Styela clava: one gene and its partners. The main gene of each other region encodes a partner of the protein of the gene in region 2 in a complex. Links are inferred from orthologs where the notes say so. Each region holds a gene or a part of one and is shown on either strand. Other genes may lie near its edges.

Evidence for each region. Proteins that work in one complex are often made in the same cells at the same time.
Region 1: GATOR1 complex protein NPRL2-like (region 2) and nucleoporin SEH1-like share a complex: the UniProt entries of both Drosophila melanogaster proteins name them as parts of the GATOR complex. The link is inferred for Styela clava from reciprocal best matches to the Drosophila melanogaster genes Nprl2 and Nup44A.
Region 3: GATOR1 complex protein NPRL2-like (region 2) and GATOR1 complex protein DEPDC5-like share a complex: the UniProt entries of both Drosophila melanogaster proteins name them as parts of the GATOR complex. The link is inferred for Styela clava from reciprocal best matches to the Drosophila melanogaster genes Nprl2 and Iml1.

What each region holds. Positions count from the first base shown.
Region 1 is NC_135251.1:17,060,856-17,069,211, reverse strand, and holds the start of nucleoporin SEH1-like, read right to left. Parts: upstream 3,218-8,356; 5' UTR 3,187-3,217; coding exon 2,114-3,186; intron 1-2,113. UniProt on the Drosophila melanogaster protein: Probable component of the nuclear pore complex (NPC). Involved in maintaining the localization of another nucleoporin Mgtor to the nuclear envelope of early meiotic female germline cells.
Region 2 is NC_135262.1:4,330,961-4,338,931, reverse strand, and holds the start of GATOR1 complex protein NPRL2-like, read right to left. Parts: upstream 3,417-7,971; 5' UTR 3,399-3,416; coding exon 3,276-3,398; intron 2,765-3,275; coding exon 2,667-2,764; intron 1,748-2,666; coding exon 1,530-1,747; intron 348-1,529; coding exon 151-347; intron 1-150. Other genes in the region: uncharacterized protein LOC120332525, read right to left, coding at 5,394-6,440, 7,837-7,971. UniProt on the Drosophila melanogaster protein: An essential component of the GATOR subcomplex GATOR1 which functions as an inhibitor of the amino acid-sensing branch of the TORC1 signaling pathway.
Region 3 is NC_135264.1:6,356,563-6,365,060, reverse strand, and holds the start of GATOR1 complex protein DEPDC5-like, read right to left. Parts: upstream 3,218-8,498; 5' UTR 1,097-3,217; coding exon 1,036-1,096; intron 952-1,035; coding exon 845-951; intron 1-844. Other genes in the region: membrane-associated transporter protein-like, read left to right, coding at 4,241-4,992, 5,208-5,360, 5,458-5,615, 5,706-5,872, 5,994-6,669, 6,807-7,176, 7,385-7,587, 7,898-8,103 and 1 more. UniProt on the Drosophila melanogaster protein: An essential component of the GATOR subcomplex GATOR1 which functions as an inhibitor of the amino acid-sensing branch of the TORC1 signaling pathway.

The sequences.
Region 1 (8,356 bases), on a different chromosome or scaffold from region 2:
GGATGGAACGTAAATAATGAAAAGTTTTGAAATGAAAATATCCAACAAAGATTGGGCAAAATAAAATAGGCAAGATTAAATGTAACAAATATTTTTATTTTTTATTAGCTACACGCCCACTCAAAATTGTCTATGCCTCCCTTGTGGGGCGCGCCCCACCGTTTAAGAACCACTGTTCTAGAATATGCTCCAAATGACCAGAACTCTGTTTTTTGATCCCTTGTAGAAAAAATTCATTTTGTTTTTCTCCATTTGATTTGACAGTAACCATATTTAAAATCATAGGCAGAAGGAACAAATAACTCCAGATACATGTGTGATCAAACAAGAATTAAAAATAATCACTAATTGTTAATATTCGATACATAATTTCAGCATAACCACCAAATAATTTAAAATTCTGAGAAATTGTGTCAATGCGATAGCAGAAAGTAAGATTTTTCCTCAAACAAAAATTGGCACTGATTGCAGATTGTTTAATTAAGAAAAAATATTAAAACTAGAAAAACAACAGAAAAGGCTGAAAGAAAATGAAAATAAATGGCAGTTTCAAATAAAAAATGATGGTTATCAACAAATTAGATATACCGGTATTTACATACCAACTTGCTCAAATACAAATAACACCCAAACTGAAACTACACCTATGAGCGCTGCATTACAGACACAGTACTCGTGGTCAAACTGGTCAAATATAATTTTGGTGACATTTTTTTGAGAATATATATACTCAAAGCAATGTATCATAAGCAGTGTTCCCTCTAAAGTGTGCGCGTGTGCCCGCGGTTGCGCACTCGCATAGATTTACTGCGCACAGACCTATTTCGATGTAATGTAACAATGTTCTCGGTTGGCAGGTTGATAAAGTTTGTTGTTGGCCCACCCATTACCCGGTTAGAACGCTAAAATTTCTTCATTGGTATTTGCACAAATATTAGTCATTTCAAAAAAAGTGCGCACACACCAAAACTTCTGCGCACACATACTACAAAAAATTAGAGGGAACATTGATCATAGGTCATAATCTTCTGCGAAATGGCCACCAGTAATACTCAATGAAGTTGGAGTAAACTTACAGTTAATTCACACCAAAGCTGCTAGCACCTGTGAATCTCATGGTACCACAGTTTCCACTTCACAGCCTGAGCATATTATTCACCATGTAGGCCTGTCCTATACATGTGTTTTTTGGTTATATGTCAAGAAAAAAAAACAGAAAATCATGTCACAGTAATATTTTTCAATTACGATATGTCCAAGGCATCATGAATTAGTTGCGAATAGATAGATTAATAGCCCCAGTTGCTATTTCAATGGTCCCCTCTGTTAATTTAATATTTAGGCACTGACGATGATTAAAAAAAATCACTGATATCCTCGCATATAAGCCGAATACAAAGCTCAAAAAAGTTGCGAAACTAAGGGCTTATACGCGCATAACTCTAATCGCACTAAAAATTTGGCTTAATAAAAGCGCATAACTCTAATCGCACTCAAACGAAATGATATTATGCTAACTTAATTCCACTCAAACCATGCTAATTTCCTACCAATAAGGGCGTATGATTTGTAGGGTCGGCTTAAATACGAATTTTTTATAAAAATTCACCGCTGCTGAAAACGTCAATACCGATATGCCAACATTCCATAATAGACGACAATGCTGAAGGGCCTTTTTACGGGGTCGGCTTATATGTGAAATCGGCTCATATATGAGGATAAACGATAATTCTCAATCTTTGTAAGCCACCACTTTACCCTAAGCAATGTCTAGCAATCACCCCAAATTTGTGACAATTTCACTATGTATTGCCCTAGCAGCCTATGCTTGACTGAGATGAGCAATACTACATTACCAATCTAAATTAGTTCAATATGCAATCACAAATTTCACTTTATTTCTATATGTACAATTTTTTTGAATATAGCAAATACATAACCATGCCTCAAAATTATATAAATTATAAGACAAGATTATTGGGAACAAAGCATATGCAAACACTCAGAATTGCAAGTTTCGAATTGAATGAAATTAGAAAAAATATTTAAAACTTGCAAACATGCAGAATTTTATTAAAAAAGTTGTCCACCTCGAACATTTCCACCAGCATACCTGATAGTTTGTTGAGAATTGGACAGTCCTTTATCATTGGAGCTATTTTGTCTTGAAACATTGCTTTGTGTTGTTTTATTATCTTGCAAATTTTTCAATGTTCCAACTTTTCTCCAATTATCTAAATAATTAGCTTTCCAGAGATGAACTTTTCCATCATCTCCAGACGATGACAACACCGTACCAAGAACATTCCAACTAACTCTCCATACTTTGCTATTGTGAGCATCAAATTTAGCGACTTCACTCACAGAATAGCTAGACGATTCAGTTCCAGATGTTTTAGAATCACTCAAAAGCTTCATAACAAAAATATGAACACACTTTGACGCTACGGCAAGCGTGTGTCTCATCGCACCGTAATTCGGAGCAAATTCAATATCATTAACAGGATCCGTTATTGTCATTATTGTGTGAACTTTGACCCAATCACGATTGATTTCACTGTATTCATATATTAAAACCTTGCCGCCCACGGATGGGTTATTATCATCACTACCCACTGCAATCATTGAAGGATGTTTGTAAAAACTTGAGGGGTTCCAGGACAAACAACTGCAACCTAATTTCAATTTGATTTGATGCTGAACAGACCATTGAGCCAGATTCATAACATCAGGTGCTTCGTAAACACGTACAATTCCATCAGCAGAGCAAGTAGCCAGTTGTAGACCGAGATGTTTTGGAGCAAATTTTACATCAGTTACAGATGTTCGACTATCCACAAGAGACGATTTACGTATCCATGATCTATTATTTTTCAATGTTGTCGTATCAGTAACAATCTCTTCCCATACAGCAGCAGTTCTGTCAAAGGAACATGTTGCAAGCACTTGCCCAAATTCAGGGTGAGCCCAACATACTTTCCAGACTGAACCATTGTGAGTTTTCCAGCTGGAACTGCAGTACCAATCACCATCATCATCTAAATCCCATACTTTGACAGTTTGATCACTGGAACAAGTCGCCATACGCTTTCCATAATGATCGAAAGCAAGGTCATGAATAAGATCCTTATGTTCGGCATTGATCTTAATGGCACTAAATTCAGCTAGTGATTCTGTATCATCCATTTTAGCTATAAAATTACTACAAGTTGAGATATGTAAAATATAAATTTTGAGTAAATTGATTGTGCTTTCATGATTGTTCTGATTAAAATTTAATTTAATTAAAATTAAATTTAAAATTTGGGCAAATTTTGAGTAAATTGATTGTGCTTTCATGATTGTTCTGATTTAAACAGCCTCCTTGTAGCTCTTGGTACTGGCCACTTGGTATTCATTAAGAGATGGGTACCCGCGATGCATGCATGTCTTTAGTTAGTGGTTCAAATGTTTTGCATCATACTCTCATTAATTCAATTTTTTTGGTTGTGTTTTATTGAGACGTTATTTCAAAAAAATAAAAAAGGAAGTGATGCAATAATAATAGTAAACGGCAATGGTGTTAGCTTGTGATCAGTTTAAATGGAAATTATAAAAACAAAAAATTTCTGAAGTTTAGAACTCATAAATATTTTACAGCACTATCCGGCTTGTAGAATTGAATAATAGAGTCAAATAGAATTCTTTTTACACAACAAAAATCAATAGGTCTACTTCAGTGGTTCTCAACCTTTTACTGACCGCGTACCACTTCACTGTTTTTCACTATGGCCGCGTACCACCGACAAAGCTTCTTTTTTGGCGTGAGGAAAAAGACACAAGAAACGTGTTATTTAGTAGTAACGGTAGTATTTTATAATGTGGCACTACATCCTTTGTGGCGTGACACACAAAACGGACAAAAACATGCCCATATCGCTTCATTTAAGATGGGCAATAGCGGGCGATCTCTAGAGACAATGACTGATAGCGCACCAGCGCTATGTGGATGTTTCTCCGACCCTTGACTCCGGAAAATTTACCACTATACTTTACAATTGTAAACTTCATGCTTATTCTGAGAGTGCTTAGATGTGTTGGCGCATATAAAATGGTTTACGTGTTTGGAGTCATCATTTTTATTAAAATTAATCAACCATGTGCCGTTTGCAGGTACTGATATAGCTAGGGCTGCCATAACGTCCTTATTTCTAAGATTTGTCCTTATTTTGAAGGCCTTTGTCTTAGAAAAGAATTTTTTCCTTATTTCTAAGAAACGTCCTTATTTCGACATGTGACCTTATTTTACGGGTAGACGTTCTAATATCGGGCATTTAGATTGGTCAAATCGAATGATTGATTTGCTAGAAATGATATTTTACAACATCATTGATTGCTACGTGAATCCATAAGTAAGAACTGAAAAATAATTGACACAGTGACAAAACAAAAGCCTACCGACCAAAATCACTGCGTGTAACCTGAATTAAAATACAACTTGAAAGTGAGATGGAACAGATTTTTTCTAAGAATAAAGAACTGCTGGAGCAAATCCTTTGCAAAGTATGTTTAGACACGCACTAGCATGAATACATTTTGTTTATTACAGTTCGTTCTTTGTTATTGTATTATTATGTTTCCCTGATGTCCTTATTTTTGGGTTCATATCGATGGCAGCCCCACATATACCGGTAGCTAAGTTTAGCTTTGTCCATCACAGCATTTGCGAGATTCAATTTCGATTACTGCAACTAAAGTAAAGCTCTGCGGGAGACATAATGACAAATAAGTTAATTAATTCACAATTATTTCCTTAAAATACAACTGAAAACTGACAAATATATTTCAAAACTACAAAAATGGGGCAATGTTTGCAACCATGCTTGAATATCTGTTTGAGCGACAGAAGTGTCTGTGCGACTGAGTGCAGAAATTGCCATTGTTACGTGTTGCGTCATTATTGACTTATTGCTGATTGGTGATAGTTACGGAAATGAACAAGGAAACTGATGCTTGGGAAAACCTTCATAAACGCTGTTCAGCGAATACATACAGTAAGGAGGATAAAGTGTTGTCGACATATTTTAGCCAACTGAAAGATTAATTGTTGCAATAATTCAAATCTGCTCGTGTACCACTAGTGGTACGCGTACCACAGGTTGAGAACCATCGGTCTAATCTAGCTTTTATTTAAATTTTGTGTTTTATTCAATTCTGGAGTAACAACCACGGCCATTTTTATGTGGACATGATTAATTAAGTGGGTACATAGCCATTTTAGTACTTTAGTAATAAAGGACATTTGGTAAATACATACCGATCACCATTTTCTGATTATAGTACTGTTAAAGCGTGAATGTGGGACATGGTCATTTCATAACGACTTCAAATACAGAAATAATGCCCATATGAATGGTTCATTACACGAAAGTTTACATTATTACAGAATGAGAACTTTTATAATTAACCAGACATAAAACATTGACTAAGACATGAAATATTTTAGCAATTGCAAAAAACAAAAATTAACATCTAATTTCATGTCTAAAATAATACTTCGCATAAATTTTGTAATTCCTAAAGCATTTTTTTACTCTAGAATTTTCTATATTTTTTTTACACATAACGGCCATTTTTTATCTGCTTTTAAAGGAGAGCAATACCAGGAGTTTATTTGAAGTATAATTTCTCATGATCCAAATTTTATATCGCACTATAAATAATAAAAGAATAATTACATTCAAATCTACAATAGTTGATAGTTACCTACTATAAGACTAAATAAAGCATAGGTTCTCAAAGTGCTCCGTACGGAGCCCCAGGGCTCCGCGAGTGAAACCCAGGGGCTCCGCGAGCTATTCGATTACTCTTCAAAATACTGACTCAAAATTTTGTAACTGTTCAAAGAAGCAATAACAGTTTTGATAACATCTGACAACAATATAGCCTCGAAATATGGTAAAGGGCCGGAATTAAAAAATGACATTATTTATGAGCAGTAGCGCAGCCAGGATTCTTAAGAGGGAGATGGTTCAAAATTGGAATCGGAAATTTCCGCGCAACATTTTTCGCGATTAAAAAAACGGATAACGAGATTTCTGTTGCGTAAAATATTCAATCCAAGACCGATGGAGCATTTGACGTGTCTCGTCGGTATAATGTAGTTGTGCTCATCGTTACTCACGTTTGATTCGAGATTACTATTAGGATTACTAAAATGAAAGAATACTATTCTAAAATAACATAAAATATGTGATAAGCTGCCAACTATAAATAAATTGGTGTCGTATTTTTGCGATCTTGGTATTTGTCAAACTTGATTTGTTCTTTCGCACTTGAGATTATTTTTAAGCAAGATATCGCTGTTTAAAAAATCACAATGTCTGGGGAAAATACGAACAATTGAAAATTATTTTATTGCATTCAGCTCCGTCGGTAGTTTCAGAATGAAAAAAGGTACATCGCGGATCGCGCGCACCATTGATTGCGTGCGGCTGCGTCGGTAGTTTCAGAATGAAAAAAAAAGGTAAATCGCGCGCACAATTGACTGTGTTTCGATTTCGCAGCTACTACGATGAAAACCTAACATAACACCAAATTTTGTGATTTACAATGTCTATAGAAGCGTTTTCAATCTGAGGTGAGTCTGCTGAAACCAAAGTGTGATCTTCCATTTTAAGTTTCAGTTTAAATATTTTAGAATGCCGCTTTTCAATCAAGAAATTTGAGTTGTGGATTTACCTTTTTATTGATTATTATTTTTAGCATTTCGTCGCCGATGACTATAATAATATGGTAACATGTTTTTCACATTGAACTCATAATTCCCCACGAGAACAAAAAAGCAATTAACGTCGTCATTGTGTAACAATACATGTATATGCCGAGGGAAATTTTTGATTTAGGGAGAATAAACAGCGGCGTAAAGATGTTTAAAACACGCCATGCTGACGGAAAAAATCGGCGATTGTAACAAAATGAAATAGCGCACGTTACTAACGGCCTTTTAATTAAGTCTTCCAAAAATGTCAAAAAAAAAAAGATTCGATCCCTAATTTATTAATATGTTCGTCAAGTGTCAAATTTACAGCTTTAGTATAAAATTTAGATTTATTTATGACTTGTGTTAACCCTATTAAAAAAGGTTCAGCATTTAGAATAAATAAAGTACTTTTAACTTGCTCGGGAATAATAATCTGAAAGTAACAATTTTAAAATTTATTTTGGGGCTCCGCGAATAATATTCAACCTTTCAAGGGCTCCGCAACACCAAAAGTTTGAGAACCCCTGAAATAAAGGATCATTAAAATTCAATAATACTGTAATAAGGCAAGAATCCTAATTTATATTATAATTTATTTTAATATAACTAAACAAACAAAATCAATATAAATATAAGCGCGATTTTGTAGGTATAAACCTTTCTTACATTCAGGCCAATCAGCCAGTCTATGCCTAAATGAATGCAACATGTCATCTGCTCCAGCCTCCAGATATGTATATGACTGTTTCAAAATATGTGTAATGAGTCTTGCGATATTTTCTCAAGGTAAATCAATATTTAAAACTTTATTTGCATCTGTATATAGTAAATACTAGGATAATAAATTGAAAAAGAATAAATGAATATTTAAAATGAACACATCAATGTTGAAAAATAAATGTCTAGTATAGAATTATTCGCAATGGTTATTGCGGGTGAACAAAATCGGACTCTGTGCACCACAATTACGGTTGTTCACATTTGATTGAAATCCCGCCATTTTTCTGATCTCAGCACTTCACTGCATTCAACTTTTTGGTTTACAGGTTTATGGTATGGATTTGTTTTGGATTATCATTAGATTACAGCAATAAATTTATTTCTGGAATATATAGTTAAGTATAACAGGATGTTAATGTTAATCCAAGTGTAAATAATGTCATAGCAAGAATTAGAAAATCCATTTCAGTAAGGAGAAATATGGAACAATTTAGACAAAAACCTAGTTAGACTATATAAGATTATGAACTTATCATAATCTGCAAGAACCTATGAATAATTGTATAAATTTTTCTTTTCCTGCTAACAATAATTAAAAAACATGTAAAATAATGTTTATTTACTGTTAAACATGGTGAACTTTATCTGGAATCAACAATGGCTGAATGGAACAATATACAGATATGAATTACCGGTACTAACTACTATATGATGTTTATGAATATAGACTAGCCTACTTGTTTATTATATTATACGTGACTATAATTTTTCATCATTTATTTATTTTTATAAAACTGTTTTGAATCCACAATGTGAAACCTTAAAAAAATAAAAAATAGTCTATAATGTATAACAGGATTTTCTCAATGATTCATATTTTACCATCCGAATTAT
Region 2 (7,971 bases):
TCCTGAAGTATGCACACCAAAATGTCGCGTAACCTGAACTCTAACCTGGTACACAACCTGAGTTCAGGTTGTGCGCCATCTTGGTGCGCATACTTCAGGAGGTCCCACTAACTATGGAATATTCAAAATTCACATTAACTACAATCTTACCCTTTCTGTGGTCAAATCCCATCCTCCTGGCATGAATTCATCTATCGATACCATCAGTATCGGCACATCATGATCTTTTACTACAGGAGGAAGGGTTGTGGGGGGAAATACTTTTAAAAATAAAGTTGTGTTATCATTAACCCTTGTGCAGCAACTTCCTTTTGTATTTAGTTCTTCAAGCATATCGCGCAGAATATCTAGAAAAATGTAGGAATGTAATCTGTAATGGTAATAAACCTCAAAGGTGATTGTTTTACAATCAAACCAATAGAGTACAGCAGTGAGGAAACCTTTTGTCACTCGCGGGCCAAAATTAAGGTTGCAAGTCATTGACGGGTCGCACATATTTTTAGAAAGTTGAAAATTTCGAACGGATGGTACTTTTTATAATAAAAATCAAGCACTGATACATCTCTCGAATAGAATATAGATTTATTTCCTCATTGCATCTCATAAAATCCCATTTGAATATTTTCAGCGCCATTGAACCCTTTGCACTTAGAATTAACTTTTCCGCGTTTTGTTGCCATTTGCCTAATTATAATTAAATTATATGCTCATTAAACGAGTAATTGTGAATTATATAATTGTTGGGTTATAATATAATTAAGTCTAAAGAATATATTCGTCAAAACGGATGTTTTGTTACTATAATTTAGTGAAGCGTCGCGGGCCGGATTATAGTGCTCCGCGGGAAAGAAACAGGAGCAGGCTATTTTGCATTATTATGCACACACATTTCGCTCCAAAATATGAGATCTGCTTCATACGACTGTAAAATGAGTGTTTGTATCGTGAATGTAATATTAATTTGGCTATTTTTGGGACATTTCATAAATGTACTTTAAACGAGGGTTTGGATATAGATCTACGGATACAATATTTTAAAATAACCAGAATCTATGTTTATGCAAAACCTACCAAATTCTTACACCCTGAAAGAATGAGACTTATTTTTTTGTTTAAAATCAAGATATATACTTAACATAACAATAACATAACTAGCTGTATTGTCTGCACAGGGCCAAATATATTTTTGAGTACTCCCGTAGTATGTGCACCATGTTAGGGTTAGGCCATAATTTTATTCCGATTTTCTTTATTTTAATTCTATTACAAGTCAGGGATTGTCTGTGTTAGCCAAGTGAATATACCCCCTGCCCACAAGTTTCAGTCACTTTATATAACTTGGATGTAAAATAGGCAAACAAAATTAGTCACCTCCATATTGGTACACATACTTCTGGAGCGCCCATTTTTCAGTTTATTTATGAAAAAGACTTAAAATGCGATGGTTTTTATTTCTTATTGGCAGTTAAATTGAGCAGAAGTCCTAAATTTCTTTCAAACCAGATTTACAGTTAAGGGTTGTTTCTTACTTGGAATCATTTCTCTAGTCTCTTCATTAGAAACGAAGCCATTCTCCTTCTCAAGTTCTGACATATATTTTGAGAGTTGTTTGATCATTGGAATACAAGGAGAACTCTTATGTTTACTATCGAGCACCAGACCAAAGTTAAAGATGAAATTATTTCTTGGATAATGAGATCCCTCGATACATACTGGACATCCAATCACTTTCTTTTTCCCTACATTCCTAAATACAGTATTAATTATAGACAAATGATATTTACTGCGTGTTATAGTCACATTTTTAATAATGCTGCATGATAGCTAAAGAGAAGCAAACACAGCTACCTTCATTTCAGAATAGCCCTATGAAAATACATAGTTAGGACGTTTTTTGTCTGAAAAAAGTTTCTTCTCACTCCAGAGATTCAAAATGCAGGTCTAAGTCAAGGGTCTGAATTGACAAAATCTTAACTCACTACAGCTTACAAATGTGAGAAACTATTTTAACTACTATTTTAACCAATAAAAATTTGGACTCCCAACTCTCTCAAAGTCCCAAATACTGAATCCAGATTCCAAATAGTACACCCTTTCAAATCAGACTCTGATTGAATACCACCAATTATAGTAAACCACAATTCTCTACGATAGTCAGAATCTAGGAATAGCTTGGTCATAGTGTATTGCAGAAAATTTGATTAAACAAAAATATTTTAATCCCATTTACAGCTCAGAACAAGCTGAAGCAGGGTTGTGCAACCTGTGGCCTGCAAGCCAATTGAGGCCCACCGGGAAAAATTGTGCGGCCTGCGGAGACATGCCAATTTTGGATTGTGTGCGGCCCGGGAAACGCAGTTTTAATTTAGTTTTATCTGGTATGAGCGAGTAACCCCAATACCTTAGAGTTGCAAAGCCTATACCCGAGACCAATTTTTACGACGTTACAATGCCCTAACAGCTAGCTAGCTTTTTGTGCATGCAACTACATTAAAGCCTATGTTAAATAAAGGTGCGGGCCACGTTTTCTTCCAGTTATTTGAATGTGGTCTTCATGTAATAAAGATTGCACACCCCTGGGCTTGAGATATTCTTCCCTGTTATTTGACCAAATTTTGTGTGTATTTCATTCATTTCAAGGAAAATAAATTACAAAATATACCAACACAGTTGTCAATTTCTCTTGTAATTCTGGTTTAGGAATGATATAATTCGTAACTTCTTCAAATAATCCTTCTTGTTGGTTAAAATATCCATCAGGATACTGAAATTAAAATATCATATCAAATGATTTATTGCAAAGAAGGAAATCAAGTCATAACAATAGGAAGGACAACATCACTGATCAGAAAACTATATTCCAGAGCTAATGATAGTTAGACCAATATTAGATGTAGTAGATGTTTTACAATCATGAAAATTTGTTCAAGTTATCAGATTTTTGAAAAACAAGAGACGAAACTTGAACTTATACAACAATTTTACTTCTACATTCAATATTCCCTTTTTTTATATTATTGTACAGAACACATTAAAAATACTGAGACATATTTCAACCTTATAATATTCAGTCATGGACAATGTTCAAGAAACAACAAAACAATGCTTAAATATGAAAAACACAATCTCTAACCACTAAAAATTCCAAAGCAATTGGTCCAGGAGTTGAAGAAAAAAACGATTTTTCCATAACCATAAGAAGAAAAATACCAAGAAGAACAATAACAACATAATATTCACAAAACGATTTATAGGTCCACTCCATTGTTAAATACCTGATAAGTTATCTTGGGTCCTTGCAAATGATGAAATTCACTGAAGAACATACATTCAATAGGATGTTTCGCAATGTAAGACTGCAATGAATCGTTCATATTGCTGCATTCAATGACCTTCATGGGTCAGCGAATACAGTTAATTAAACTATCAATTAATCTACATTGAAAGAATTCAATTAATAATAGTTTAACATATAACAGATTATCACAAAAACAATTTTTGATGAAGATTTCGATTCCCATGGTAACGAATCCCCCAAAAAAACTGTTTTGATGAGTTGAGTGATTCAACAATATGTAAAAATAAACGAAAATGAGAAATGAATGATGATAATTTTAATAATGCTTGAATAGATCAAAAACGTTTTTGAAGCAATGGCCTATGTTTACAAGGAGGCCTGGATTATTGGAAAACAAAACTCAAAATTTTTCAATAAAAAACTTTGATATTTGGCCCATACACGTCAAAACCAAATCAATGTTAGAAGAAAACACTCGTTCATATTACAAGTACCGTAATCGTTGTTTTATAATAACTTAATCAAATTTTCATTACTACCGCTTATAATATAAGAATATAATCAACATGTATAGCATATTTGCTAATGACAATCAAGATAGGTTTTTTATATTTATCCTGAGCAAGGCTGATGAAATGGCTTAATCCTATGGTAGACTGTTTCTTGTCCGGTTGTATGTCCAGGACAAGTATGGGTATAGATAACTTTGTAATTGTCTCAGGTCTATGCAATTAATTTGAGAATGAAAAGCATCTACTGAATGATAATTTGAATAGCCTACTATTTTTATCTGCACCAAGAATGTGAGGAATAAATAACTTGGAGATAAGAAAAAAAGGTAGAAATGATTGTACAATATTTGAAGATCCATTTTGCAATACTTGGTTTACCAAGCTGATAGAATTTCTATATAAACCCTGAGATTGAAAATAAGATGAATCATTCCATAGCAAACCACAGTCCAGTATTAACTAGAAACCAAGTCAGGCGCACTTAATCAGGTAAATGCTGCCTTGTTACTGGAGTATTCGGACGGGACTAAAGCCATGGATTTTTGTTGTAAATGGAGCTGGCAGAAAGTTTTGCAACTCCATTTCATGCCCATCCTTTTTTTTTCAATTTATAATTTTCTAATTCATTAAAATAATGAAAAAATTCCCTATCCCATCTCTAAGGTCAAGTGCTAAAAATGTAGTTACAGTAATGTTTAGATATAATTCCTACAAACTACACAAATGCATTTAATAATGCTTTTATTAGAAGGTATTCCATGAATGAACATAATTATGAAAGCCTCAAAATACAATAATAACACTACAAAAGTATTTTCTTAAGAGACGAAACATTAGTTTGGTATGATATATATTTTAAAACTTTAATAACTAATCAATCTTCTGAATAAACATTATTCAATATTCCTCCATTCATAAAAACTTGGGATCTGGAGTAAACTGAATAATTGCTGAAGAAAAACAGCTTAAAAATCAAAATTGGACTACGTACATCAAAAACAATTTACCAAGTAGTTTGAAAATAGACCACATTATATCACGATTTCAAAGCAAAACCAGAAAAATACATTGGACTATACGTAAACTGACATCTAATTTAACCATTTCGTAGTGATTTCCCTGATTATATGATATAAGTCAGTTTAACATTTGTTGGAAATCAGTAAATAAAATAATTCAAGTACCGGTATGCCATAATTCCCACAAGCGCTAAAATCAAAAACACACTTTTTATTAAAATTCTGGAATAATTTATCGTCTATATGTAACTGCGAAAAGTTGACCTCACAAATATATTCCATGCATAAAAAACATTTGGCTATCACAATCTATATACAAGCAGTTTAGTTAACAAAAGAAAACACGATTTATATACCAGTTCATGCAGTTTATGTATCATGATTTTGTCACAAAACACAATATTATTGGCACCCAGAATTTAATATTATTTTCAACTAATGCTTGAAACAGCCTTTCGGCTTGATTTTAGTCTGGCAGGAACAGCATACATTGGACTAAGTAAACTTAAAAACATATCTGAAAAACAAACGCTCAGATACGGAAAGGTTGTCAAATACCATAAATTAGATTGGAGCTTCTGTGGGCTCTATAAGAATTTCATTTACACCTACATGATCTGGCTGAGTAAGGGCATATAAGACAGCCCTTCCAATGTCTTCAGGGTCAAGGATTTTACTTGCTGAACCCATTGTATTGTATTGCACTTGGGCATCCAGATCTCTCGTATAATTCCCAATTTCAGTCGCAACGTCACCGGGTTGAATACAAGTTACTCTGACCCCCTTGTCTTTTACTTCTTGCCTTAAAGATTGAGAAAGTCCTTCTACAAAAAATTTTGTTGCGGAGTATACCGCTAAACCAGGAAACCCTCTCCTGCCTGCATCTGATGATGTGTTAACAATATGACCTTTCCCCCTTTCTACCATTCCAGGTAGAACACACCCAATACCGTTAGTTACGCCACGACAATTAATATTAATCATTTTATCCCAATCATCCATCATTGCATTGTGCATGTGCGTGTAAAACATGCATCCAGCATTGTTTATTAAAATATCAATCGGGCCCATAAGTTCCTCAATAGTTTTCACAACTTCAGAAAATTGAGCCCGATCCGTTACGTCCAATTCATATTGGTGTACAATACCACCTTCAGAGTCAATTTTTTCACAGACTTCAGCAAGTTTATCTTGTCTTCGTGCGCCAACACATACGTGTGCACCCGCTCTTGCAACAGCTTCCGCAATAGCCTTCCCGATTCCACTTGATGCACCAGCGACTAAGATTACTTTGCCTTGCAAACTTCCTTCGAATGCGCTTAATTCACTCATGTTCGTATCGTTCTCGGAATATGGTTCTGGTACTTGTATTTCAACTTGCAAATTTGGTAAGTTCGATATTGATTCGCTGTTTAAATTGTCAGATTTAATCAAAGATTCACTTGAGGAATTTTTATATTTTGAACCAAGATTTTGCATAAATCCACTTCTCATAAAGGATGGGGAATTACTGATACCCTCCCAATCATAGACAAGAGTGGCGTCTTTTTTACTTTTGCTAGATTTCTTTTTTGTGTTGTTTGATTCCTCACTGTTTTCCAGTGATAACCTCTGTAAAACGAAACATTTCATTGTTTAAACTTTATACCATTGACATTTTATGAATTTCAAACAAACATAATGGATTCAAAGATATTCAATACTGTATTGAACAGATGTTTTGATAATTAATTTTAATTGTCTTTAATTCCAAACAAAACTCTGCGTGAGAAACCACTACTATGCGAAGAACTCTTATATTTGAAAAGCCGTAACTCCAGTTTGGCATTATCCATCCAAATTCATTACTAATTTTTTTTGAAGCGGTGAGCATGAGATTTGAACACAAGATTTTCAATCTACGATGCCAACACAATTAATTCAAACTCTTTGACCACTAGTCCAGCATATCCACTCAATCTAATTAAAAGGAAACAATAGTGAATCGCATCAATCTAGAGCATATGAAATAATTGGATAATAGAAGCAAAATCTGACCCCAAAAACATGTTTAATAAATTCCGCATCATTGAAAATTACGTTAAAAGATTCAAACATCTGGGTAAATAGATATTGAATAGGCTACAAACTTATTGTAACTAAAACTGTTTTTACAATATCCATTATCAAGATATCTTTATTCTTACTAAAGTAAGACCTTTTAGAATCTCAATTTCTAAGTTATTTTTACTTTATTAAGCTTCACAAAAGACTTTCAAATTTGATTTTCTGCAAATGAAAACTTCTGCCTTGCTGCAGTGCAGGCTACAAACAGACTGAATGAAAAGGAAACTCAAAGAGAAGATTTTATGATCAATTCTCAATCAATGACTGGTGAGTGTCAACATGTCACCTCATGCATTTCCTGATGCAAGTCACTTGTAACTGTCACATAAAACATGCAAAAATATCAAAACATTTACTTGAACATCATATCGTTATAATTAATTGTTGCCATCTTTGAGGGGAACACACAATAAATAATAAGATATAAGTCGAAATGCGAATGTATTATATGGACATTTCAGAGAACATGATTTACCAAAACGCAATGATATCTATTAGTAATTAATCAAGCCAACTGATTGAATAAACAATTTTTGCCGTATATTTTTTAATGGTAATGATTCTAACGGTATGAAACTTTTTGTTAGATTTGGCCTTGTGGAAACCACTATCAAAAGAGTAGAGAGCAATAAATTGTGAACAATATTCAACCAGATAACTGGCATAAAGCCAATAAACTTATTCTATGAATGACTGCTTCTCCAGACCATTTGAAAAATTCACATCTAGATTTTTCATTCAAGCAAGAGAATTAGGACCAATGTGGACTTTACTCTAAAAAAAGAATTAAAATGTTTTGCGATGATGATACAGCAATGGTACAAAGCATTGAATACTTTATCAACAAAACTCCTTAATTCTTCCGTGAATTTGAAAATAAATTGTCGAAAGAGAAACAAACCTGAGATTGTCTAACTCTTCTTCTCACTTTTCTCATAGCAGATCGTACTTTCTCTTCTCCTTTCTCAGCAATAATTGGTTCTTCAATAACAAATTTTCTCATTGCTTTCGCCACAGGTTCCCCAGATTCTAAAAC
Region 3 (8,498 bases), on a different chromosome or scaffold from region 2:
TTTCAAATAATTTTTGGCTTACAGAATACTGCCATCAATAAAAAATGTTTTATAATGGACCATATTCTAAATTGTGCAATATTCAAATAGAAACGATTGTTCATGTGCATAAATATCAGATTGTTTGGGCAGAATTCATACTTTATAAGTAACCCAATCAAACATATGTTCTATAAATGTCCATGCATGAAAAACTGAAAAACTGGTTTACTATTCTAATACCCGACATGGGCAGGTAAACAAACCAGAGGTCATAGTTCACCACATGATTAGATAAGCCCTAGATAATTTTAGTTGTTGGCATCATAAATTGAAGATATTCGGTTGGAAGTCCATGCTGACCCAGATGGGGATTGAGAGATTTACATATTTATCCTGGGGGACAGACAAGCCGATAAGACGGCTTAATCATATGGTGAACCATGGCCTCTCGACAGTTACCAGTCCATATTGGTATGGAATTATTTAGCCAGGTATCTGTTTTAGATGTATGGAATTGATGGTGGAGGAAGCCGTAACTGACCAGCGGTTACATGAACCACCCTACGGCGGCAAGTCCAGTAATCATCTGGCACATAATCATCCTCCCAAGATTCGACCCACACAGTGTAATCAGAGATTCGGTGATCAGCATCTTCCTAGTACTTAGCACGATGCGCCACACAGCCGAGCAAATAAAAAATTAATCTAGTAAATTAGATAAGCAATGCCGAACCAGAAAATTGCAATCCATTCAGAAATAATTCAACAAGCTCCTAATATATCGGTGGATACTTGTATACAGCCTTGTTCTGTTGTTTGGAGATCGGAGTGAAGATGTAAAAACGCTTCATAAAATACCTACTTTCATAAAAAGATGATTGGAAGTATCTCCATCACAGTTATGTATTTTAAGAATGTCATCTTTCTTAACTCCTGGAAAATCTTTAGCGTTGATCACCAGTGATTCCTCTGCAAAAAAAAAATTCAGCTTCTAAAAACTGCCAGATAAAAAATTTTCCAACCAACTATTATCACCAGACTGTAGTAACTTACCGCTGAAATTCGCTTGATGTATTTTTAACTTGTATTTCTTCATGATCCCAGACTCTGCCATTTTAGTATAGTCACTAAGTCAATCATGAAAACATTAAAGAAATTGTTTATTAGATGTAGTAACTGTAAGTTAGTTGTTTTGATCACACTATCTTCTTATCTTTCGGTCATCAACTAACACTGTAAAAACAGAATAAATTAAAACAGCAATACTAATAGGAGTAATAGAAAAACAACATCATATCAATAAAATAGACGGAATTATGAAGAAAGGATATGAATTTGAATCTAAAGACATGAGGCATCCGTAGTTTACCTCAAAAGCAGGAACAATCACAACAAAACACTAGAATCAAAATAAAAATTTGCCTAGAATTGATTTCAGTAATTCACATGCAAAAAAGTAATGGAGTATGGCACATTCAATCACAATTCTGTAATCCATAGAGACAAACTATCTTCGAAATATAGCCCAGTATCCCACACATCACAGCATTACGTGATTGATCAAAGGTTAGTACTAAGTTTATCAATGCTACAGTACAATATCTCTGGTACAGTCTCCTGGTACTGCAGTAGGTTGGTAGCCTGGTCTGACAGTGCTAGGACAACCTGACCACGGAAATTGATATCAATCAATCAATCAATCATTTTATTTCGGCTCTCTGACTAAAAGCAGAACAATACAAAAAAGTAAACAGACAACAAATACAGATTTAACAGGAAGGCGAGCATAACTTGAAATAAAGTTAAAAAAACGTACAAGTACGTGCCCACCCACCAAAATATAAAAAAAGAATAATACGAGTATACAAAAAAATATGGACACGATTCAAAATCGGGCAGTGCTTATAACTCAATTTAAAATGATAAAAGCCAAATAATTGCTTCAACCAGCAGACCAGTCGATAACTTACATGGAGTAAAATAAGTGTTGCGCTTGAAATCAGATAGCAAAATTCAGGTAGATAAAATTAAATGTAATAGAATCCCAACGACCTCCTCCATCTCTGATTGATATTAATAGGCCTATATAGCTTTTTTTGTTTTTTCCTGTGTTACTAGTCACTATTTTCTTCTAACATTGGCACGCATTGTTAGGTATTTGTATTCACAGCTATTATTAGGATTAGGATAGACACATTTATCCCGAGGGAGAGGAAAGCCGATAGGACGGCTTAACCATATGGCGAACCACGGCCTCTATTTCAAGCTATTGTCACTCTATTTTTATTCCCACTATTCAAAACTTCATGCTACTTTTCAACCATTTGATAGGTTTTCGGTGATTTTTTGCATTTCTGACAGCAAGCGTCTCTCATAGATTTTGACTTGTATATTTTTATGCTATATAGGAATCTCAGACCCAAAATTTACAGCATTCGAGATCAGCTATATTTATATATATTTACTGCAAGGCTAATCCTGGTGATTTCTCAGCTACCATTATTGTATACGAACATTTGAATCATTATAGGCTACATTGAAACTATTTACCAAAACAATATCCAAACACTGTCAATATTGGCAGGCAACATGGAGGTGTAAAATCATTTATTAAAACAGTAAAAGCAATCTCAATTACACACTCCAGCACTCACACAAAGAAATACCATGAGCAAAAGTGAACCATGTTACAGTAGGAAAGTCAAATTATGCTGGTGTCTTAGGTGGTACATACCCATTTATTGGCGTCAGAAGAGGAAAAAATAGATATTGCCAAAATAATATCCACAGAGTAAGGTTGCAGGAGCTCATAAAAAAATACAAAATGGATAATTTTGCCATTGAAATAAGATGAACAATTCAAGGCATATTTATCAAAAGTAGCACAATACAAACAACCATGTTAAACAGAAAGCACACTTGCAATTGGAAAATTTGTGGGTGTCTTTAAAATTTCCATCCCCTGCCACCAATGCCCAGCATACTATACTATTCATAGTGAAACCTCTTTAGTCCTTACGGTAACTTTGTTATAAAGTGAACAGGACATCCTGAGATATGGTGAAGTAATTATCTACAGATCTAGATTAGTTACAAAATGATACGATAGTGCGCAATCCTCAACAATATCTGAATATTAGCAAGCGTATTTTCTGGGCCACAAGTATTATCGAATATCTACTCCAGCCCAAGCCAAGGGAATACCCGCCCCGTTGCAAATCTGCAGCATTGCATCCTTGAAGAGAAATATCAATACTCTCCAGCACCATATAGCGGTGAAAGTTTATAGCACTGCTACTGCATATCCAAGATGGGAGGAAATATGATGAGGCGATGAATACTTTCCCGGCCCTTAACCCCAGAGAATTTCTCCCTATACTTTATTACAGCGAAATTTTTAATACTTATTTTGAAAGTATTTTGGAAAATAGGCGTATACAAACTTGTTCGCGTGTCCAAAAAAATTTATGTTAAACATTAAACCACATGTCTCTTACAGGAACTGATAGCTAATTTGAGCCAAGCGACTGCATAAATTGCCATTGTTACATCTTCGTAGACTTAATGTTTTGCTGTAATTAAAAAGGATTCGATGCTCGGGGAAACATCCAAAAGGCTCAGCCATTATATAATGGCTCTGATCATATTGTATATTGCGTCCGTTCACCAGTCGTTGTCGGGCATAGAATTAGCTAGGGTTAGCTATCACGGGTTCCTAGTTTATTTAAAATTACATCATGTACTTTTATGAAAACTTTTTTTTTAACTATTTTTGTCATGTTAAGGAAATATAAAGTAAATTAGGACTGTATATATATATATGCAATGATTTTAGTATACAAGCGTTTCCTATAGATGCCTGTCAAAGCATGTCAAATTTACATGGCAGAAAAATATTTGCAAATTTGCGCCTAGATGTTTGCAAAGCAACTAAAAGTACAAACTGACATTGAATTTTTTATGTCACTGCCTGTTTCATTGTGATCGTTTGTTACTCCAAAGAATAATATTTATTAATGAATGCGTTAGTGAAACCAGCGTGATTCCAGGAAGTATTTCATGGGCTATTATAAACATTTAATGAAGCTAATCGTGTCTAATTAGCTTATGCATCCTAATTCCGCATTAAAACAAAATAAAACTTGTCGCGTGACAGAATAGTGTAACAAAAATAATCTTGTTTGGTTTATAAAGAACAATGTTTTGTATTCCACACACAAATTATGTTAGTTGGAGAAGCTGTGAACATAGGCTAGGTATGCCAATTTCTAGTCAAATAGCAGAGCGTACAAATAAATATTTGCAAAGTGCTAGATCATCGAAATCAGTCGACAACGACACAGAGGAGATTGCTGACAATAAACGGTTTGCTTCCGCGACTTGTTCGTCATTCGGGCAGGAATCCTGGTTGGACGAACCAAACGGGGAGAGTAACGCCTTTGTTTCGCCAAAAGGTGAAATGCTGGAAGTTCAAGAACAGAAAGCAATCGAAACTCGCACTGTCAAAGTCGGTAAACGTGTTTTCGAAGTTAACGTTCCGCAACAACCGACTGTGGTAGTTACCTCACCAGACCAACATGAAAATGGACCAGGAAATTATCCTAGTGCTCCATCATACCAGAATCTAAATGAAGATATTCATAGCACAAGAGCTTTGCTTCCTGTCCCAGAAGAGCCAATTGCGAGAAGAGTTCGGCGAAGGAAACAAAGAAGAAATATTCGTGCTCCGAGCTCAATTATATCTTTGCCCATGTCTTCGATCACCGCGTTTTCTGGGTTTACGTCCGTTTCAACCACGTCTTCCATTAGGCCGAAAAGAAGCAAAATGAGCTTGTTTTTGAATAGCTTTATAATGTTTGGAAGAGAATTTTGTTATGCCATTGAAGCGAGTCTCACAACCCCTATTCTGCTAAGTATTGGACTTCCAATAAACCTGTACAGTCTTGTGTGGGTAATAAGTCCTATTCTGGGATTTGTTCTTCAGCCAATTATTGGAAGCTTCAGCGATAAGTGAGTATGGATTTTACATTGTTATGTAATTTGTTATTATTATATATATATATATATAATCGACAAAATAGCACGTTCAATTAGTTAATTAAAACAGAATGCCAATTTCACCTACTCCCTTATTGTTTGTAGAGAATACTATATATCGCCTAAATCAAAAATTTGTAACATTACCCAAAGATAAACACACTTGATACGATTGTACTCATTTTCAGGTGCAAGACGCGATGGGGACGCAGAAGACCATTCATTTTGATTCTTGCAGTTTTGCTTTTGTTCGGGATGACCTTCTTCTTGAACGGAGAACAATTTGTGGAGCTAGTTGTCGGAAACCCAAATGATGTCGGAAGTCAGAATACGAACGAAAGGTATGGCACTGGATTATTGTTTTCTATTACTTTTTCAGAGTAATTTTTAGTAAAAATTGTTTCGTTTCTAATCTATTCAATTTCTTGTTATTTTTAGATCAAACGTGCTCGCAACCATACTGGTAACGATCGCAGGTGTTGTTGTTTTTGATTTTAGCGCTGATTTTATCGAAGGCCCGATTCGCGCTTACGTCATGGATGTATGTGATGAAGATGACGTCAAAATCGGATTATTTTATCAAGCTGTGTTTACGGGTAAAGTCAATCTTTGAATGAATTTCATCACGGGACATTTTTTTTTATCTCAAGTTCAAATTTAATAAACTGAGCCGATCTTTGTTTCAGGAATGGGCGGTGCTCTCGGATATGCAAGCGGTGGAGTGTCATGGGTTCGGAATCTTGGTTTTGGTACATATTTTCCATCAGATAGACAAGTCGTCTACGTTTTCGCAGCCCTCATTTTTATCATCTGTGTAGCGATGAATCTGACTAGCATTCCAGAGAAAAATCGGGTAAGACCATATTGCCGTTCTGTTAAAGTCAAGAACAGTAATAAAGAGAAATAAAATTAGTTTTTCATCGGTAAACTTAAAAGTAAGTTGACTTTTTTTCATTCAAATTTTTCACATATAGTTGAAAGATACCAAAATAAAGAAGAAGACAATTTTTTCTAAAAAACGCCGCGGCGGAAAGGATGTACGATCGAGAAAACGACGATTCCCTGAAAGAGAACAAAAGTACATGGTAATTGAAGAGGAAAATCCAAGAAAATTTGATGCAAATAACAACTTGAAAAGATCGTCAAAAGACACCAAATCTGCCATAGATCATGACGTCATTACTACCCCACATACTTCAAACATGATATCATCACGCCATATGAAATACAAAATGAAGAGTAAGCAGAGAAAAGATCGACGAAAATCTAAGAAAACAGATAATGGCTTGTATGGAAGCTTCGAACGCCCGGACGCGGAACAGATCCATGACTACTTGACGCAATCCGGTTATCAAAATCAATATCAAAGTCTTCCAAGAGACTTTAGCGAAGAACAAAACACATACCCAGCCATGAAGTACAACACGCATAATGGAAAGGATGGTGTTCCATTAGACAACTATGGTGAAAAAATAAAGGGAGTTGCAGATTTAAAAGGAATGGCATCGTGGGCAAACAAATCTGCTTCGCTTCCAAGAAGTGGTACAAGGAAGCAACAAGAAAATCGACGCGCCTTGCCTCATCCGCCAACTGCACCTTACTATTACAATAATAACGGAGTTAATGGAAAAATGATAAACGTCCCGTCAGGTAGGATCCGTTTCGTTTCACTCAACTTATCTAAAATGTTATTTAGGGGAAAGGGTGTAATACCGTCAACAAGGTCCAGTTAATACGCGTCCAACGCTATACTATAGATTGGTATCAATGATTTTTTGTATTTCCAGATTCTGATTCCTCTTCGGGAAGTTCCTTCTCCAACGATTATTCTCCAGTACGTAAAAGCGCAAATAAGCGTGAAAAATCAAGAACTTACACAGCAAAAAGAACAGAAAAATCGAGTGATATTGTAAATTACGAAGACTTTTCTGACCCCTACCGACCCCTGCCACACGAGGCGCCACGCAAGTATCAGAAAAAGTCAAACCGTACAAGGAAGACGAGAATCGCAGAAATCAGGGACGACTTGGACCAGGACGAAGATTTGGAATCTCCTTTATTACGAAGTGATTTCCATGGTGAAGACGTGCCTGAAGAACGCGTGCATGGTGCCAAAAAAATTTGGAAATCAATTGTCGGAATGCCTAAGGAAATTAAGTAATTATCCAATTCTTCCAATTTCAACAGCTTATTATAATTTGCCTGAATATAATAATTTTATGAAATTTCAAAAATCATCTTACAAAATCAGCCGTGGTCCAAAAGCAAGAAATATATTCTACGCCTCTCATATATTTATTTCACTGTACCCCGCTGTATTGTATAATCAAAATAGCCTATTTTTCAACAAATGTTACATTTTCAGGAGTCTTTGTATCGCACATTTATTCGGATGGATGGCATTCTTGTGCGTTGTTCTGTTTTTCACTGATTTCGTGGGCCAAGAAGTGTATGGAGGCGATCCACTAGCACCTATTGGAACCGAACGAGGAGATGCATACAAATTAGGAGTTGAAATGGGAAGCTGGGGAATGACAATTAATGCAGTAGCATCTTGCTTCTACTGCTGTAAGTAGAATAAAGTATTTGAGTATTTAATGTAATTTCTATTCACCAGGTGCATGTTAATATTGGGTACCAGTTTTTTCAGATCACAAATGCTGATCCGTTCTGAATCAGCACTATTTACTAGTGAACTGAAAGCATATCAATTTTATTTAGTGCTTATTTTCCAATCACACGACTTTGTGAGGATATGTATAATTCAGTATTTGCAAAATAACTTTGCTCAAAAAAGGCTAATCTTCTCAAAAATACTGTGCAGCAAATAGTTATTAACGTAGAACAGACTTGATTAATAATATTTCTTTCGTTTCAGTTCTTCTTAAGCCGATGATTAAGAGATTTGGAGCCCGGCCTATCTACATGCTGGGATATTTTGCTTTCGCTGTGGGCGCGCTGGGAATGGCAATTTATCCGAATGTATATTGTGTTCTGATATTATCGTCGTTGATTGGAGTGATGTCCGCGACATTATATACTTTACCATACTTCCTGGTGGCACAATATCATGAAGGGTACAAGGTTAGATACTATTCTACTAACTTTTTTGTTAAAATTCTAATTACAAATGATTTTAACTCAATTTTTGACTCAAAGTATGAAAAATGTTGTCTTGGGTGCAGCATAACACGGTTGATTTTAAAACATATCAGCAACATGATATCACTAAAATTTTTTTTTTTTTTAATGGTATTTCATTAAAATAATCGTTTTTTTCTTTTCCCAGAAATTCAAAGGTACTGCTCAAGAACGGGGTGTTGGCACTGACTGCGCTCTTGTGACGTGTATGATACAATTGGCTCAAATAATTGTGGGTCTGGGTATTGGAGCTCTGGTCGTTTGGCTCGACACTGTTACAGTTACTGTTGTAGCGGGGTCAATAAGTGGGTTCATGGGTACATTGTGGGTTACTTGGT